Anolis sagrei: one gene and its partner. The protein of the gene in region 1 binds, or shares a complex with, the protein of each later gene. Links are inferred from orthologs where the notes say so. Each region holds a gene or a part of one and is shown on either strand. Other genes may lie near its edges.

Region 1 (10,091 bases):
TTCAGTTGAATCTCTTTCTCTGCCATTTGAAACCATTGCTCCCTTGTGCCCTGGTCTCTACAGCAGCAGAAAGTCAGTTTCCCCCCCGTCCCTCCTCAATGGGATACTCTTTTAAATCTTGAAACATGGTCTTCATGTTTCTTCTCTACTTTTTCTTCTCTCAGCTAAACATCCCCCAGGAAGAATTAAAGAAAAAGAGAAGGGAGGAAGAACAGGAAGGAAGGAGGGAGGGAGGAAGGAAGGGTGGAAGATAATGGAGGAGGGAAGGGGGACAAAAGGAAATACAAAGGGGGAAAGGAAGAAAGGAGAAAGAGAGAGAGGGAAGGAGGAAGGAAAGAGGGAAGGAAAGACAAAAGGGTGGAAGGGTGGAAGGGAGGCAGAAAGAGGAAGGTAAGGGAGGGAGGGAGGGAAGGATAGGATGGTGGGAGAGAGGAGGGCTGGGAAAAGAGCCCAAGGGGCCACATCCGGCCCCTGGACCTAGGTTTACCCATACCTGCTCTAGTAATCTCTTGGGATCACAGCTGGCTATTTCCCACTCATTCTTAAGTTGTCATGCTCACAGGAATTGTACTTTCTCTGCCTTTGGAAAGACTTGTCCACTGTGTGTGTGTGTGTGTGGGGGGGGGGGGGGTTGTAGGCATTTCACAACCACCTAATCTGATTAAAAAAACATAATTTTTCACCATGCAGAAAAAGCAGTTCTTTCTTTGTCCCTCAAGCACTGACTACACATTGATTTTGGTTTCTATGGCAAGGCTTTACTGCCCTTTTGTGGTTAGTTCTGAGCATTCCCATCAGCCCCACATCGGGCCAGCTACAACTCCCATCAGCCCTACTTTATCAGGCTACAATTTCCATCAGCTCCAGGTCTGGGTAGGGTGCAACTTGTCATTATCCTCTTAACTGGTCAGATGGCTTGGCCCTTTTGTTGGGCTGCAGCTCCCATCATCCCCAGCTTGACTATCAAAGGAGTAAGGATGTTGGAAGATACAGTCTGGCAATATTTATTTTATTTATCGTGTCAGGGGCAACCAGACAATTATATTACATTTCTAACAGAACAGAACAAACAGACAAAACACAAAAACACATTCTGGAGTGAGAGAATCAGCCGTCTACGAAGATGTTGCCCAGGGGACGCCCAGATGTCTTGCAATCCTGTGAGGAGGCTTCTCTCATGTCTGGCAATTAGACTGAGCCATCTGATAAATTTGGATGAGATTATTTACTCTTCATTCCCCATAGCATCATTACTGCTGTTACCCATTTAATTCCTTACACTGAGTTAATAAGTATGCAACTAAAAGTGAAGAATAAATATTTTTGAAGCTCAAATTTTGGAATTACTTAAACTCCTCCTTTTCCTTCAAAGACATCTTGACATGCCTTGAATTCACTTTTGAGCAGGTAAAAGAGTTCAAATGTGGTTTCCTCACAACCTGCAAAGTCTCCAGAGGTATCAATTATGAAATAGAATACATTAATAAAGAATAGGGACTGAAATTAAGAAGGCTTCATAAACAAAGGAGACTAGATTTAGAACTGCACAGGAAAAAGAAAAGATGCAAACTGCATCAAATTAAAATCTATGAACATATGATTAAACAATTCTAAAACTAAAGAACATCTAAATCATAACACAAATGTGCCTGTGCAGATCGCCAGTGTCCCACAAAACAACAAGGAGCCTTAAGTTGAATCTACACTGTCAAATGAATAGTTTGGCACCACTTTAACTGCCATGTCTTAAATGCTATGTAATCCTAAAAGTTGTAGTTTTACAGGGTGTTTAATCTGTGAAAGACTGTTGGTACCTCACTAAACTACAACTCCTATGATTCCCTAGCATCAGGCCCGTAGCCAGGATTTTGATTCGGGGGGGGGGGGGGGTTCTGGGTGAAAGAGGGTCTACCCTAGCAAACCTTTTGTATTGTTACTCCAATACCCCCATACATCTGGGATATATTTATTTATTTATTTATTTATTTACTTTGCTTATATACCGCTATATCTCAAGCCCGAAGGCGACTCACGGCGGTTCACAAACAGTAAAAACAGTAGAAACAGCAGTGGTTCCATACAACATATAACAATTGACTTAACACATTATCCATAAATTACCAATAAGCAATTACAATGCACAATTATTACAAAAAACAACCGTACCCAATCTTCTCATCATCCAAGCGTAGTCCAGGTTCGTCGTCCATTGTTCCATTCCTATGTTCCAATTACCAGATTGCACTAAATTACTCAAATGCCTGCACAAACATCCAGGTCTTCACCTTTTTGCGGAATACCATTAGAGATGGTGCTAGTCTAATGTCCGTAGGAAGGGCGTTCCACAGCCGAGGAGCCACCACCGAGAAGGCCCTATCTCTCGTCCCCGCCAGCCGAGCTTGAGAAGCAGGCGGGATCGAGAGCAGGGTCTCCCCGGAAGATCTCAAACTCCTCGTGGGTTCATAGGCAGAGATGCGGTCAGATAGGTAGCTAGGGCCGGAACCGTTTAGGGCTTTAAAGGCCAACGCCAGCACTTTGAATTCAGCCCGGTAGCAGATCGGTAGCCAGTGGAGTTGGCGCAACTGGGGGGTTGTATGCTCCCTGCGCTCCGCTCCTGTTAAAATCATGGCTGCCGAGCGTTGGACTAGTTGAGAATATTGAGAATGATGATCAGATCATGATATTAATAAACATAACAGTTTAAATAATGTACCAGTAAGGCCTTCTCGCGGACCACCATGAGAATTTCGGGGGGGGGGGGGCTGAAGCCCCCATAGCCCCCCCCCCCCGGCTACATGCCTGCCTAGCATAGAGCCATGGGCGCTAAAGTGGTGTCAAACTGCATTGTTAATTCACTGTCAGGCCCCGTCTAGAAGCCTTTGATGAAGATACTTAGCTGTAATGACAGGAAGGTAAACTTTTATTGAGCTGTCCTACGTTTATCATCTTTCTATTGAGTTACCTGTAATAACTGTATTGGATAAATGTTTTTAAATATGTTTACTTATCTTTATTGTAAATTGTTTTTAGAAGTTTTGTTTTACGTATGTATATTGTTTCGTATTGCTTTAACATAATGTTGTGAGCCACTTTGGATCCTGTTTAAGGATTAAAGTGGGATACAAATAATTAATTATTATTATTGATACAAAAACACAGTATGTCACAACCAACGAGAGATATATGCTGGAAGTCGTATCACAAAATCACAAGTCAAACACTTTCCAAGCGCCTAGGACTGTGTGATGTGTTTTCAAATGATGCGTGTAGATCCAAGTAAGGTGGCCTTTTGCAGCTGACAGATCGTCATTTTGTCAATGTTTATTGTTTCCAAATGCCAGCTGAGATCTTTTGGCACGGCACCCAGTGTGCCGATCACCACTGGGACCACCTGTACTGGTCTATGCCAGAGCCTTTGCAGTTCGATTTTGAGGTCCTGATAATGGCTGAGTTTTTCTTGTTGTTTCTCCTCAATGCGACTGTCACCTGGTGTGGCAACATCAATAATCCAAACTTTTTTCTTTTCCACAGTCATGATGTCTGGCATATTGTGTTCCAAAACTTTGTCAGTTTGGATTCAGAAGTCCCTCAGTATTTTTGCGTGCTCATTTTCCACGACCTTTGCAGGTTTATGATCCCACCAATTATTTATTTATTTATTTTATTATTTGAACGTATATGCCGCCACTCCCCTGGGGCTCGGAGCGGCTTACAAGAACAGGCTAAAATTGAACACAATTTAAAAACAATTTAAAACAATTTAAAAACAGCAATCAAAGATCAAAGGCCCGTCGAAACAGATATGTCTTACATGCCCTGCGGAAAGCTGATAAGTCCCGCAAGGCACGGACTTCAGTTGGCAGAGTATTCCAATGTGATGGTGTCACTGCAGTAAAGGCTCTGCGTCTGGTTGCTGTTAGACGCAAGGTCTTGACACTGGGAATTTCCAAGAAATCTTTACTACTGGCAGGTGGTACTTGTGACATAAGTTCCAATCATCATCATCATCATCGACAATATAGTGGTTTCATAAAACAGTTTAATTGCATTGAACAGCATTATATGAGTCTACACTACCATATAATGCAGTTCAGTGCAATTAAACTCTACTATCTGGTCAGTGTAGATGGGGCCTCTGAATCATTCTATAATTCAATAACAGACATGCCATGATGCGATTGTGAAATAATGTGCCTCATATCTGAAAAAAAAACTGTGAAGATTTAATTTTTCTTAAACAGGGCTGCGTTGTGCAAATCAATTTGAATCAACTGTGGGGTTTGCTGAAAATCTGCAACACCAAGAAATCAGCTGCTTAGACACCAGAACTCAACTGTTTTTCACAGTAAACAAAATATGAGGAACACAGCTGTTTGTCATGAGACAAGTTGGGAGAAGTGAATACAAACACATTATAGTATTTTCCTCTTCAGCAAACTTTCAGAGGTAAATGTTCTTCAAAATATTATAAAATGTGATCAAAGAACCACATTGCTTTGAAGTTCCCTCTCATATAAATGTACCTTGATGGAAAAAAAAGAGTAACCCAATTTAATATATGGAACTAGTTCATACATTCCTGTAGCAGAAATCAAGTGACAACCTGCATATATGAAAAAGCCATCGCTGAACAGTTATTATGCACACTCAAGATTTTACAATTTTTAAAAAATCTGTTTTTAACTGGTTAATGAGGGGTGAATAGTGAAGTGCCGAGATTTGCTGATAATGCAAAATCATTAGCTGTTAAAACAAAACTAGATTGCAGGTTACTTTTTCAAACTGGGGAAACAAGGAGTAAAATGACTCACTGGGGCAAAAAAAACCCCAAACAAAACAAAACCAAAACAAAACAATTCAGGAAATGTGATGACTACCTCAACAAAAAATGTTGATCAGAGATACTGTGATGGTCAATACAGGCCCTCTAGGTGTTTTGGACTTCAACTCCCAGAATTCCTAACAGCCCCTTTCCCCCATCAGCCACTTAAGTGAAAAGGAAAGGGCCTGAAGCTGTTAGGAATTCTGGGAGTTGAAGTCCAAAACACCTGGAGGGCCCAAGTTTGCCCATGCCTGGTCAATACCATGTTGAAACTCATTAGAAAAGTGATGGGAAATCTCAGAGTTGTAGTTTGGCGAGGTACCACCACTCTTTGGCAGAGGAGGCTCAAGGCCTTGTAAAACTACAACTCATGTGATTCCATAGCATCAAGTCATGGCAGTTAAAGTGCCATCAAACTGCATTATTTCTACAGTGTAGATGTGCCCTAATGAGAAAGGCTCCCTGGTTTCAGTTCAGCACATGGCCCTCTCCATGTTGTTTTTTTTCCCTGGGGTGGAACACCCATCACCTTTGCTGAGTTGTTGGGAACTGGGCGAAACTATGATAGCTGGAACCCAATGCTGAGACAGCGCAGCAAGTGAGAGATGCAGGTGTGACAGAGTCGTGGCAAGATAGCTTGCCAGAAAGGGGGGAGGGCAGAAACGGGGGCAGAAAGGGGGGGAACGGACAGCCGAGCATAGTGCTTAAGGCTATCCGGATATCATATGCAAACACATTCAAATATGTTATATCTTCGCTTCTCTAATTCTGACCCGTGACATGCAACCAGCATTGGATCCCAGATATCATACTTTTCGTGAACCACCATGAGAATTTCGGGGGGGGGGGGGGGGGCTGAAGCCCCTCAAGCCCCCCCCCCCCCGCTACATGTCTGCCTCAAGAAAAAGACAAGGTGATTTGGTATGCCCATACCACCAAGTGGTATCATCAAAGTGGTATCATCTGCATATCTAAGGTTGTTAATGTTTCTTGCAGCATTTTTTACCCCAGCTTGCCCATACCTGATCAATAGTACAGAGGCCCTTGTGGTCTCTTCCAACTTAAGGATTATATGAACAGAAGTTTCCCAGCCCTTCTCAGAAAGAGAGTGGAGGCGGCTCCCACCAGCCAGCCTTGACTCCTCCCGCGCTTTCCCTTCTGTCCCTTCACCCACGGTCACGAGCCTTCCCGGGGGCAGGCGTCTGCGCATGCGCGGAGGTCTCTCCCTCCCTATCTCCCTCCCTCCCTGGCAGTTCCTCCTGGAAGCACCTCCGCCTTCGAGTCGTCGCCTAACGGGCTGAGGAGAGGAGTCGTCGCCAAGGCCGCTCGGTGAGAACGACTTGAAGCAAAAACCGTGTTTGTGTGAGAGGGAGAGAGGGAGGGAGGCCGGGGCCTGGGGTGGATCAAGGGCCGTGGGGTTGGGGTGGGAGAGGCGCCTTCTTTCTCCCTCAGAAAAGGAGGCCTAGTTCCTCGGACCCTCCTCAAATAGAAGCGACGCCTCCGTAGCCCGCACATTTGTGATTTTGTGGGGATTGTTTGTCACCTGAGGAAGAAAAGTGTGTGTGTTTGTGTGTGGGCACCCCTTGATTTGTATGGCTGCTGTTGCTCCTTGTCTCGGTCTGAGGCGAGACGTGTCTGAAGAGAAGGGGAGGGTCGTCTGAGTCTGGGAGAGAAAGGGAGAGCGCCTGAAGCCCCCTCCCCAACACACACACACACACAAGACGTTTGGCAGCGAGAGGGGTTTACTCACCTCCCCCGCCCTCTTCCTACTCCATCCTCTCCCTCCCCTCCTCTTCTTTCTCCTCTTGCTGCTCCTCGTACTCCCCCTTCTCTCTAATATTCATCTGTTCTTCTCCACCTCTTCTTCTTTCTCCTCTCTCTCTCCTCTTCTTTCTTCTCTTCCTCCTCGTACTCCTCTCTTTCTTAATTTTCATCTTTTCTTCACCTCTGCTTCTTTCTCCTTCTCTCTCTCTCTCGTCTTCTTTTTTCTCTTCCTCCTCCTACTCCCTCTCTTTTCTAATTTTCATCTGTCCTCCTGCTTCTCCCCCTCCTCTTTCTCCTTCCCTTCCTCCTGTACTACTCCTCTCCAATTTTCATCTGCCCTCCTCCTTCTCTGCCTCTTTCTCCTCTTCCTTTTCCTTCCCTCTTTCTCTTCTTCCCCCTTCTCTTCTTTCTCATTCTTTCTCCTTCTCTCCCTCCTTTCTCCTCCTCTTGCTCCTTGTACTCTCCCTCTCTAATTTTCATCTGTCCTCCTTCTTCTCCCTCTCCTCTTTCTCCTTCTCTTTCTCCTCCTTCCCCTCTTCTTTCTCTTCCTGCCCCTCCTTGTACTCCCCTTCTCTAATTTTCACATGTCCTCCTTCTTCTCCCCCTTCTCTTTCTCCTCCTCCTCCTGTTCTTTCTCTTCCTCTGCCCCTTCCTCCTCCTTTCTCCTTCTCTTCCTCGTACTCCCCCTCTCTAATTTTCATCTGTTCTCGTTCTTCTCCACCTCCTCTTTCTCCTTCTCTTTCTCCTCCTTCCCCACTTCTTTCTCTTCCTCTCCCCCTTCCTCCATTTCTTCTTCCTCCTCATATCCCCATCCTAATTTTCTCCCCTCCTCTTTCTCCTCCTTCACCTCTTCTTTCTCTTACTTTCTCCTTCTCCCTTCCTCCCTTTCTCTCTCATTTTGTTCCTCCTCGTACTCCTCTTCCTTTCTCACTTTCATCTGTCCTCCTTTCTTTCCAGCCTCTTTCTCCTTCTCTTCTTCCTCCTCTTCCTCCCCATTCTCTCTCAAATTTTCATAAGTTTTCCTCTTTTTCCCTTCTCCTGCTCTTCCACCCTTCTTTTCTTCCCCCCCCCCTCTTCCTCTCTCTCTTCCTCTGCTTTCTCATTCCCCTTCTTCACTCCCTCCTTTCTCCTTCTCCCCCCTCCTCCTCCTACTTGGGACAGAGGCCCAGATTGAGCAGGGAGGGAAGGAGGAGAGGCAAGCAAAAGCTTTGCCAGTTCCCTTTTTCCTTGAAATAGGTTCTTGGTTGGTGGGGGAGAGAAGCACTGAGAGGCTTTGATTCCTCAGAGGAGTCACAAATGGAGGAGGAGGAGGCATCCATTTTCAGTTTTGTTACAGGATGTTTGCTGAAAGGTGGGAGAAGGAAGTTGTTGGTTTTTCTGCGTGACGTGATGTCTTTTCCATTGCTGCGGGTGTGTGTACTTTAGATGTTACTAGGAGTTGCCTGTTTTGGTTTTTAAAACCACAAACCAAGAGAGATAAAATTGGGGTGTATTGGTTGCTGCCTTGATTCCAACTATGTCTTAATATATACATTCTCTGTCATCTCTGTGTGTACATGTGACCATATGGTGGTTGCTAGCTATCCTAGAATTGACTTTACTTTTGGCAACCCTGTGCATGGGACAATCCCGCCTTCAATCTATATTAAGTGGTCAGTTGAGACATTCCCTCAAGTCAACAGACCTGTTCAGGTCTCACATGGTCCATCCTAACTTTTGTATTTAATAATATTAGATGACTACTGAGGGTAAATTCAGTAAGTTCTATGTTTTTGTTTGCAATAAAGTCTACTGGGTTCTGTAAGGCTGAATGGCTAGTAAAGGTGTTCAGTACTACATCCATGTTTTCAATTTCAGTGTAAAATCTGGATGAGAAAATATAGTGATATTGTATTATTTTGTGTTCTGTTTTACAATAGATTACAGTATTTTGTTTCTGAAGAGCCATCTAATTCCCCATCAGAGTTTCCAAAACATGTGAGTCACTAGTATTACCAGAATTTGTTGAGATAATTGTTTGACAAACTGTTTTAGCTCGAAATCCCCCTTCCCGGTTTTGGGAAGTTGATGCTGTTTCATACATAGTTTTACATACCTTTATTATTTTCTCTTGCTATTTTCTAAGCTAAAATATTACGTTGACTTATAGTGAGGCTTCCTCAGGTCACTAGCTATTGGCTGGCTATTTTCTATGTTTTCATCTGCTCTGCAATACACAGAGGAGTTTCAGTTTGTGTTAAAGTTGGTCTCCTAGACTTTTATTGTAACTGACGTAAGGAACTGGGTAACAACAAAGATGGCCATTTCAGTTATCTCACCACAAGTGACTGTTGATACTGTTACCCACTAGCAAAGTGTACTTTTTCCTATTGTAACCCTTTCATTCAGTGATAACAAGACTGCAGTTACTTTTCCCATTCCTCCAGCTTAGGAAGGTAACACTGTCCAGTCGCTTTATGGCAAAGCTGCATCTCAGCTCAACTCACCTTTCTCACACACTCACCTCTGTTTCACTCCACTTCTCAGGTGTGCTGAGAGAGCTATGCATTCTGGTTGTGAGTAATGTAAATTGAACTCACCTGTATGTCTTAAGATATGATGACCCAAATTCAGTAGCTTATTATAGGCGTTGAAGCAGCATAGAACTGTACAAAAGATTGATATTTGTGGCTTCAGTTTTTTTCCCAAACAGATCCCACCATACAGGAATTCCTTTTGCTTAAACATATGCATTGAGCAATATACCATCATAATTTTCCTAGCAATTCACTTTCATTGCGAAGTCATTTCCTTTCACTGTATATGTGATATTAGAATTGAGCATGTGTGTCTTTCAGTATCACCTTACATTTGTTTAGAATGAATTGCCTTTGCTATTTTAGTACCCATTTCCCTAGTTTGGAACTTTGTAATTTCATTTGTTTCAATTTGCTTAAACAATTTTGATTTAGTCAGCTTTACCATCTCATTTCTTAGCCTTATTTCCACTGCATTTTTTAACATGATAGCAAAAGCCAATTTCAGTACTGCCCTGGCGTCCCCTGGGCAACGTCCTTGCAGACGGCCAATTCTCTCACACCAGAAACAACTTGCAGTTTCTCAAGTCGCTCCTCACATGACAAAAAAAAAAAAAGTACTGGCCTACGGGAAATCTGATTTTTGTAGTATATCATTGCAAGATGTGTCCATGTATTCTTACTCCCTGTGTTTTGTATAACCAGTTACTGGTCCAAAATATAATGTCTTCTCTCATGACTACTATATTTGATCAGCTTTGATGAGGTCACTATTTGAATCTTGTGGCTTGTTTTCATTTTTGTCAGCAGAGTCTAGAATTTCATAACTTGTCACCACTGTTTGTTTCTGTTTGTCGCTTTCCTGAGAATATCAGATGAAGCAATGGATATGTGATATACGGCATATCATAGGAAGTGAAGAAAGATAAATTTCTCTGCAGTCTCATTGATTTCCTTTAGTGCTTTTTAAACTAATCATCCAGTCACTC
Region 2 (9,948 bases), about 170 Mb from region 1:
ATTGAATTTAATACAAAATAATAATAATACAATATAATACTATAATTATATATTACATGTAATATTACTAATACTATTGCAGTATAGTGGTATGGTACAATATAGTAATATATAATACTAATATTATGAGATGCTAATAATATAATATATTGTATGTGCATATAATATTGATCCTAATATTATAATGTAATACATTATAATACTGATAATACAATACAATATAATAATTATATTACTAATATTGCTAATAATATTGCAGTATGGTGGTATAATAAAATACAGTAATATATAATACCTATATTGTGATATGCTAATATAATATATTGTATGTACATATAACGGCGCTCCATGCAGTCATGCCGGCCACATGACCTTGGAGGTGTCTACAGACAATGCTGGCTCTTCGGCTTAGAAATGGAGATGAGCACCACACCCCAGAGTCAGACATGACTGGACTTAATGTCAGGGGACTACCTTTACCTTTACCTTACATATAATATTGATCCTAATATTAGAATGTAAGACATTATAATACTGATAATAATACAATATAATAATATAATAATTATATTGCTAATAATATTGCAGTATAGTGGTATGATACAATTCAGTAATTTATAATACTAATATTGTGCTAGGCTAATATAATATATTGTATGTATGTATATGTATGTGTGTATATATATATATATATATATATATATATATATATATATATATACATATGTGTGTGTGTGTGTTTGTGTGTAACTTTTTAGTGGCTCTGAGCCCCCTTCGGGGTGAGAGAGGGCAGGGTATAAATATAGTAGATAAATAAATAAATAAATGGTAGTCAGAGTCTCACTTAGAAAAAGGAACAATAGTCTTTTCAAAAACTTAGACTGAAAACAGCATGGCTTTGGAACAGTGTTACAATGTGTTCACAGTGGGTTGTCCAAACCATGAAAGTGTCTCTTGTGAGTTACAACCAGCTTGTTATAAGTAATGCTGAAAAGCCCAGAGAGTCTAAACCGGTGCTTCTCAGGTTCCCAGTATAACAGGCAGTCTGATGTGTTGACCCAACATTTCTTCCTCATATATGCCAGGGACTGAGATATTTATCTCCACTGGCTACAGTTCTTTTCTGGAAATTCTCCAAGGACTAGCAGATGAAGGCTTGTGACCAGCAGTGCTACATGGACCACCACTTCAAGTAGTTCAGTTCGAATCTGTGTCACAGTCTGGTCTTCGGCCCTGGAGGGAGCCACTCTTTTTCTAGGCTTATTCTCATTGCTAAGATTGCTATAAGGATTCATCCTAAAATATCCTAAAAGAGATCACAACACAGGGATGCCACTTATGTACAAATCCCAAACTGGGAACTTCTGGTATATGTCTGTTCCCCTTTCAAGCTTGAAACAGTATAACTTGCACAGGATGCCCCAAAAGGACAGCTGCCTTGGGCCAAAACTAACAAGATGAAGTTCAACAGGGACATATGCAAGATACTCCTCTTAGGCAGACAAAAATGAAATGCAAAGATACAGAATGGGCGCCTGGCTCGGCAGCAGTACGTGTGAAATAGATCTTGGAGTCCTCATGTACAACAAGTTAAAAAATGAGACAACAATGTCATGCAGTGGCAAAAAAAAGCCAATAGGATTTTGGCCTGCGAGACGTGTCTAGATCCAGGGAAGTCATGCTAACCCTCTATTCTGCCTTGGTCAGACCACACCTGGAATCACACTGTGTCCAGTTCTTGGCACCACAACTGAAGGGAGATGTTGACAAGCGGGAATGGGTCCAGAGGAGGGAGACTAAAACAATCAAGGGTCTGGAGAACAAGCCCTGTGGGGTCCAACTGAAAGAGCTGGGCATGATTAGACTGCAGAAGAGAAGGCTGAGGGGAGACATGATGATGGCCATGTATCAAGACGTGAGGGGAAGTCATAGGGAGGAGAGAGCAAGTTTGTTTTCTGCTGCCCTGGAGACTAGGACATGGAACAATGGCTTCAAACTACAGGAAAGGAGATGCCACCTGAACACAAGGAAGAACTTCCTAACTGTGAGTGCTGTTCAGCAGTGGAACTCTCTGCCCCTGAGTGTGGTGGAGGCTCCTTCTTTGGAGGCTTTTAAACAGAGGCTGGATAACCATCTGTGAGGGGTGCTTTGAATGTGATTTTCCTGCTTCTTGGCAGGGGTTGGATTGGATGGCCTGTGAGGTCTCTTCCTCTATGATTTTATAAGGAGGCCTGCAGCAAATGCAAATGCAGCAAATGCTGCCCTTTGCACATGGGTTCTGTTTCTCTCTCTTTAATAACTTTATTTTTTATACCCCGCCCCCATCTCCCCGAAGGGACTCGGGGCAGCCCTGATAACAGAAATTAAAACATAGCACACCAGAGTCATCAACAGCAAATTAAAATAACAACTACAACATACAAAATATAAAACCGGTGTCAAAACCAAGAGCAATAGCAATAACATGGTCAAGTCTTGACATGAGTGGGTGGCCTGGTGTTCAACAAATCAGAGGACAGGACAGATGGGACAGCAGGAAGGCTGGCAGAAGTCAACAGGTAAAACTTCCCCTATTGTAGCATAATGATATATGCTACAGCTTCCACTGGTTTCACTAGCCAGGAACCACTCTGGAAAATCTCCATGAATCCAATCGGGGAATCTAACCACTGGCCACACTGAGCTTGTTGTTGTTTATTTGTTCAGTTGCTTCTGACTCTTCGTGACCTCATGGACCAACCCATGCCAGAGCTCCTGGTTGGCCGTCGCCACCCTCAGCTCCTTCAAGGTCAATCCAGTCACTTCACTCCATCTTGCCCTTGATCAGCCCCTCTTCCTTTTTCCTTCCATTTTCCCCAGCATCATTGTTTTCTCCAAGCTTTTCTGTCTTCTCTATGTGACCAGAGTACTTCATCTTTGCCTCTAATATCCTTCCCTTCAATGAGCAGTCAGCTTTATTTCCTGAAGTATGGACTGGTTGGATCTTTTGGCGGTCCAAGGCACTCTCAGAATTTTCCTCCAGCACTACAGCTCAAAAGTGTCTATTTTCCTTTGCTCAGCCTTCCTTATGGTCCAGCTCTCACATCCATAGGTTACTACAGGGAATACCATTGTTTTAATTATGTGGATCTTCACTGCCAGTGTGATGTCTCTACACTTCACTATTGGTCATTGCTCTCCTCTCAAGAAGTAAACGTCTTCTGATTTCCTGTCTGCAATCTGCGTCTGCAGTAGTCTTTGCACCTAGAAATAAAAGTCTGTCTTGCCTCCACATTTTCTCCCTCTATTTGCCAGTTATCCATCAGTCCAGTTGCCATAATCTTGAGGGTTTTTTATGTTTAACTGCAACCCAGCTTTTGCACTTTCTTCTTTCACCTTGCTTAGAAGGCTCCTCAGCTCCTCCTCGCTTTCAGCCATCAAAGTGGTACCATCTAAGGTTGCATATCTAAGGTTGTTAATGTTTTGTCCAGCAATTTTAACTCCAGCCTTGGATTCGTCAACAATGTGTTCTGAATACACATTGAATTGATTGGGTGAGAATATACAGCCCTGCCGTACTCCTTTCCGCAGATATATAAATCTCATTTTCCTAGTTTCCAACAGACTTCACAACTTCCGAAGATGCCTGCCTGGGTTGTTGGTTTTTTGGGCTATATGGCCATGTTCTAGAAGCATTCTTTTCTGATGCTTTGTCTGCATCTATGGCAGGCATCCTTAGAGGTTGTGAGGTCTGTTGGAAACTAGGAAAATTGAATTTATACATCTGTGGAGTGTCCAGGGTGGGAGAAAGAACTCTTGTCTGTTGAAGGTAGACGTGAATGTTTCAACTGGCCACCTTGATTAGCATTTGATGGCCTGGCAGTTTTTAGATATAGCTTGTTACTGCCTGGGGGAATCCTTTGTTGAGAAGTAATTAGCTGTCCCTGGTTGTTTCTTGTCTAGAGTTCCTCTATGTTGGAGTGTTGTTCTTTATTTGATGTTATAATTTTAGAGGGGCTGAGGCTGTTAGGAATGGTGGGAGTTGGGTGATAGTATGACAGCTCGGTCCGGAAGCACCAAGTGTTACAGAGATGCCGCAAAGGTGGCTGTGAATAAGGGAAGAGAGGGGGTGGAGTGAGAACGAGGAGAGCGAAGGAAGGATAGAAAGGAGGAGATGCTTATGGTAAGGGTTAGGGCAAAGTTTAGGGTTTGGGTTTGGGTTAGGATTTGGGGTTACAGTTAGGGTATGGTTTAGGATTAGGGTAAGGTTTAGGGTTTGGGTTAGCGAAAGGGTTTGGGTAAGGGTTAGTGTAAGGGCTTGGGTAAGGTTTAGGGTTTGGGTTAGGGTAAGGGTTTGGGTAAGGTTCAGGGTTTGGGTTTGCATAAGGGTTAGGGTAAGGGTTAGGGTAAGGGTTTGGGTAAGGTTCAGGGTTTGAGTTTGCATAAGGGTTAGGGTAAGGGTTTGGGTAAGGTTTAGGGTTTGGGTAAGGATTAGGGTAAGGGTTTGGGTAGGGTTAGGGTAAGGGTTAGGGTAAGGTTTAGGCAGGCCCGTAGCCAGGATTTCATTTGGGGGGGGGGGGCTGAGTCTGAGTGAAAGCAAACCTTTTGTATCATTACCCCAATACCCCCATGCATATGGGATATATTGAGTATGGTGATCAGATCATGATATGAATAAACATAACAGTTTAAATAATGCACCAGTAAGGCCTTTTCGCAAACCACCATAAGAATTTGGGGGGGGGGGGGCTGAAGCCCCTCAAGCCCCCCAACCCCCCCGCCCCCAGCTACATGCCTGGGTTTAGGGTTTGGGGTGGGTAAGGATTTGGATAAGGTTTAGGGTTTGGATTAGGGTAAGGGTTTAGGTAAGGGTTAGGGTAAGGTTTAGGGTTTGGGTTAGGGTTTGAGTTAGCGTAGGGGTAAGGGTTAGGGTAAGGGTTTGGATAAGGTTTAGGGTTTGGGTTAGCATAAGGGTTAGGGTTAGGGTTTGAGTAGGCGTAAGGGTTAGGGTTAGGGTAAGGGTTTGGATAAGGTTTGGATAAGGTTTAGGGTTTGGGTTAGCATAAGGGTTAGGGTTAGGGTTTGAGTTAGCGTAGGCGTAAGGGTTAGGGTTAGGGTAAGGGTTTGGATAAGGTTTAGGGTTTGGGTTAGCATAAGGGTTAGGGTAAGGGTTTGGGTAAGGTTTAGGGTTTGGGTTAGCGTAAGGGTTTGGGTTTGATTAGGGTAAGGGGTGAGGCTTAGGCTTAGGGTATGGGTTTGGGTGTCACCATTAAAGAACTCTTACATTCCTTCTATATTATCTGTCTCCCTCCTGGTTTACATTAGCTAAGTCTCTCTTCCGTAAACTGCGTTCCCGAAGGCGCGATGCGGCATCGCTTCTGACCCAGCTATCATACTATTGCCGGGAGTTGGGAGTCCAGAACACCTGGAGGGCCGAAGTTTGCCCAGGCCCGCGAGGCCCGTGTTTGGAGGCAAGAGCCCTCCGAAGGGCCGGCCTGCGCCCCCTCGAGGGCGGCGGCGGGAAGGCCACGCGCGGGGCCTCCTCCCCCTCCGCCTCTTCCTCCTCCTCCTCCTCCATTATAAGAAGGCTGCGCGGCGGCGAAGGCAGGACCGTCGTGCCCGCGCTGCCCAGGCTGTTTGCTTTTCCTCGCGCGCCGTCTCTCTCTCTCTCTCTCTCTCTCTCTCTCTCTCTCTCTCTCCCTCCGCCATCGCCATGCAGCCCTTGCGCTTCGCCGCCTCGCTCCTCCTGGCGCTGCTCCTGGTCTCAGCCACCACGGGGGAATCGGTGAGTTGGAGGGTCCCCGAGGCAGGGGCAACTGGGGTGGGATCGGGGAGCCCTGGGATCCCTTTGGAGGGCGGCCTTCCAAGGCAGCGAGGAGGGGGATCCTGCCTTCGCCCTCCTTGGCCAGAACTTTGGGAAGAACTCTCTTGGGCGGACTTGGGCAGAGTCTCCCAAATCTGTGCGCCTGTCTTTCTCCCTTCGTCCAGCCTTTTAAGGCCTGTCGCGAAGAAGAGGTCGCGTTCTCCTATTCCATAACATTGAGAAGTCCCGTGTCCCCACTCAAGCACTTCCCCCGTCCTGCCAGGCCCCGCGGGAGGGCGAGGGAAGGGCTTGGAAGGGTCTGCTCCTGCCTCCCTGCCTTCCTCCCTCTCTCTCTCGCGGGAAGCCCGGCGCATTCCTCTCCCCCCGGGCTCGCTCTCCTTCCTTTCTTCCCTCCCTCCCTCCCTCCCTCGATTCCCTCGGCTCTCCTTCCCGACTTGAGTCGGGAACTCTTCCCCGCTGGACCTGGCCGCCGAGGAGCGCCCTTTTCGCCCCAAACGAGCCTTCCTTGCCTTCGTGTCCTTCCTCCCCCTTCTCTCTCTCTCCCTCCCTCCCTTTCCGACTCCTGACGTCCCCAAATTCCAACGCAAGGGGCCCGGGAACGTGCCTTCTCGAGCCCGCACTTCCTCCCGCTCATAGCTGCGCCATGAGTAACCAACCAACCAACCAACCGCTGACCCCAAGGCTGCCTCTGTTGCAATGCCCTCGCGTCACTCAGGAGACAGCCTTGCCGTGGAAACCCCACGTTGCAAACCTTTCAAGTCTGGAATGGAGTGACTCTGGGTTGTTGTGTGTTTTCCGGGCTGTATGGCCACGTGCCAGAAGCATTCTCTCCTGTGGCAGACATCCTCAGAGGTTGTGAGACCTCACAACCTCTGAAGATGCTTGCCATAGATGCAGGCGAAACGTCAGGAGAGAATGCTTCTGGCACGTGGCCATATAGCCCGAAAAACCTACAACCCACTTGTGAGGTCTGTTGGAAACTAGGAAGATGGGGATTTATATACCTGTGGAGTGTCCAGGTGGGAGAAAGAAACATTCCTACTTACCTCCAACAGATAAGAGTTCCTTCTCCCACCCTGGACACTCCACAGATCTATAAAACCCCATTTTCCCAACAAATAATTCCCCCCAAACAGCAACCAGCCAGGTTTTGAAGCTGCAAGGTCATCCAGTACTAAGCAAGGTGGCCAATTGCAACATTCACACTTGCCTCAAGCAGACAAGAATTTTTTTTCTCCCACCCTGGACACTCCACAGATCTATAAAACCCAATTTTCCGAACAAATAATTCCCCAGGCAGCAACCAGCCAGGCTTTGAAGCTGAAAGGTCATTCAGTGCTAATCAAGGTGGCCAATTTCAACATTCACACTTGCCTTGAGCAGACAACAGTTCTTTTTCCCACCCTGGACACTCCACAGATCTATAAAACCCCATTTTCCCAACAAATAATTTCCCCAGGCATCAACTAGCCAGGCTTTGAAGCTGAAAGGCCATTCAGTGCTAATCAAGGTGGCCAGTTGCAACATTCACGCTTCCCTCAAGCAGACAAGAGTTCTTTCCCCCACCCTGGACACTCCAAAGATATATAAAACCCCATCTTCCTAGTTTCCAACAGAGCTCACAACCTCTGAGGATGCCTGCCATAGATGTGGGCGAAACATCAGGGGAGAATGCTTCTAGAACATGGCTGTACAGCCGGAAAACTTACAACCACACAGTAAGTGCACATTTGTGTTGAACTTTTTCATCAGCAGTTCCCAATAGGTAATGTCAATAGGTTTGAGAAAAACAAAACAACAACAAAATATTTTCCTCCAATACAGCTGCAAATATAGCAAAGCCAAATTAATACAGAAATCTGATAAGTTGACAGCCACTCCCACTGACATTCAGGCAAGAATAAATCAGGGCCAGCTAATGCCTCCCAACAAAGGATTTCTCCAGGCAGCCACCAGCCAGGCTTTGAAGCTTGCAAGGCCATTCAATGCTAATCAAGGTGGTCAATTGCAACATTCACACCTCTCTTAAAGAGACAAGAGTTTTTTCGCCCACCCTGGACATTTCACAGATATATAAACCCCACTTGCCCAGCTTCCAACAGACCTCACAACCTCTGAGGATACCTGCCATAGATGCAGGCGAAAAGTCAGGAGATAATGCTTCTGGAACATGGCCATTCAGCTCAAAATACCTACAACAACTCAGAGATTCCCGCTGCCTTCCCTTCTCTTGCTTCCCTGCCAAGCCTCCTCTCCTCCTCGCACACCTTTCAGTTGTTTGTACAGGTAGGGCTTTCGGTGGTAAACACCCTTTGCCTGGCGACCTTTGACCAAGCCCAACAGTCTTGCCTTGCAATGTGTTGTTGATCTAAAGCAGTGGTTCTCAACCTTCCTAATGCCACAACCCCTTAATACAGTTCCTCATGTTGTGGTGACCCTCAACCATTATTTTTGTTGCTACTTCATAACTGTAATTTTGCTACTGTTATGAATCGTGATGTAAATATCTGAGATGCAGGATGTATTTTCATTTACTGGACCAAATTTGGCACATATACCCAATACGTCTAAATTTCAATATGGGTGGAATTGGGTGGGGGGTGTATTGATTTTGTCATTTGGGTGTTGTAGTTGCTTGGATTTATAGTTCACCTACAATCAAAGAGCATTGTGAACCCCACCAATGATGGAATTGAACCAAACTTGGCACACAGAATCCCCATGACCAAAGGAAATACTGTGTTTTCTGATGGTCTTTGGCGACTCCTGACACACCCTTGTGACCACCCCAGGGGTCGCGACTCTCGGGTTGAGTAACACTGATCTAAAGCCTACAGAGAGCCAGGAGGGGTGGGAAACTTTGAAATCCCACTGCTTTCAGGCTTATTTATTTGAAAAATGCTGGCAGGAGGGGTTATCCTAGCTGTAGAATGGGAGAAAGTCAAGAAAAAGTCTACCCCAGAGATTGTTTTGATGTCCCAGAAGCTTTAATAAGAGCCTTCTGTCTCCTCCTTGAGTTCGGAAGTGTGGAATTTGAGCAAAAGGGTTTGTGCAAGAGGGGGAAGGCTTGACATTTAAGGCCTCCTCTCCTTGGCTCCTTTCACATCTGCCTATGGCCCCTTCTGCATTGCCAACAATTCCATGCAGTTAAACTTCATTATATGAGCCCACACTGACCATATAATACAGTTTGAATCTGCGTTTTAGATGGCAGCATAGATTGGGCCTGCGTTGCTTTCTTGCCAGTCCAAATTTACTTTACTCAGACTACACAGAGAAGCCACTAAAATCCACAAGCATGTGGACAATTTCAACAGAAAGGAGTAAATGATGAAAATGAACAAAATCTGGCTAACAGTATTTCAAAAAACTCCAAAATCAGGACAGTAAATAAAGAGCCACACTCAAAAAGCAGGGGAATTCCAGACAAGAATAAATTGGGGACAGCTAACACCTCCCAACAAAGCAGGAAGCAGCCAGGCTTTGAAGCTGCAAGGCCATTCAATTCTAATAAAAGTGGCCATTTGCAACATTCACTCTTACCTCCAACAGACTAGAGTTCTTTCTTCCATCATGGACATTCCACAAAGATATAAACCCCACCTGCCTAGTTTCCAAAAGACCCCTCAACCTCTGAGGATGCCTGTGGTGAAACGTCAGGAGAGAATGGCATACAGCCCAGAAAACTCCCAGCAACCCAAATTTACTTTTTCACATTTGCTTTTGTTCTGAGCTTTCGTTTGTAAAAGGGATGGTTTTACGAACCGTCTCTCTTACGTGGTTTCATTTGGATGTGGAAGGGAGAACAGTCGTCACTCCCATCCAGTCTTTTAACACTTGTTACTTGGAAACTTTTCTTGCTTAGTTCTTCTGTTTAGTGGCATAGCTCTTACATAGAAAAAAATAAGCTGGAATGAACTGCTTCTTTTTCTCTTTTGTGTTCATGAACTCATTTTCTCTCTGGAGCAATAAGGTATTGTTCTCTTGTTGCAGATTGCAACAGAAGCTAGTTAACCAATGACTAAACAAACCCCCTTGGGATGCACATTCCTGACTTGATGGCCTTGAGTGAGTGAGTCTGAGGAAATCTCTAGATTTCAGGATAATTTGGAAAACAGCCTTTATCAGCAGCTTTCTTTATAATC

Evidence for each region. Proteins that work in one complex are often made in the same cells at the same time.
Region 2: the proteins of SDCBP (region 1) and SDC4 are in contact, whole or in part, in a crystal structure (PDB 8BLV), measured with the Homo sapiens proteins. The link is inferred for Anolis sagrei from reciprocal best matches to the Homo sapiens genes SDCBP and SDC4. Residues at the interface, in NP_001007068.1 of Homo sapiens: Gly207, His208, Val209, Gly210, Phe211, Ile212, Phe213, Lys214, Thr219, Val222, Asp251, Ser252, Ala255, Leu258; in NP_002990.2 of Homo sapiens: Thr193, Asn194, Glu195, Phe196, Tyr197, Ala198.

The regions. Positions count from the first base shown.
Region 1 is NC_090024.1:48,694,396-48,704,486, reverse strand, and holds the start of SDCBP (syntenin-1), read left to right. Parts: upstream 1-6,040; 5' UTR 6,041-6,151; intron 6,152-8,505; 5' UTR 8,506-8,563; intron 8,564-10,091. UniProt on the Homo sapiens protein: Multifunctional adapter protein involved in diverse array of functions including trafficking of transmembrane proteins, neuro and immunomodulation, exosome biogenesis, and tumorigenesis.
Region 2 is NC_090024.1:217,020,496-217,030,443, forward strand, and holds the start of SDC4 (syndecan-4), read left to right. Parts: upstream 1-5,464; 5' UTR 5,465-5,636; intron 5,637-5,666; 5' UTR 5,667-5,692; coding exon 5,693-5,764; intron 5,765-9,948. UniProt on the Homo sapiens protein: Cell surface proteoglycan which regulates exosome biogenesis in concert with SDCBP and PDCD6IP.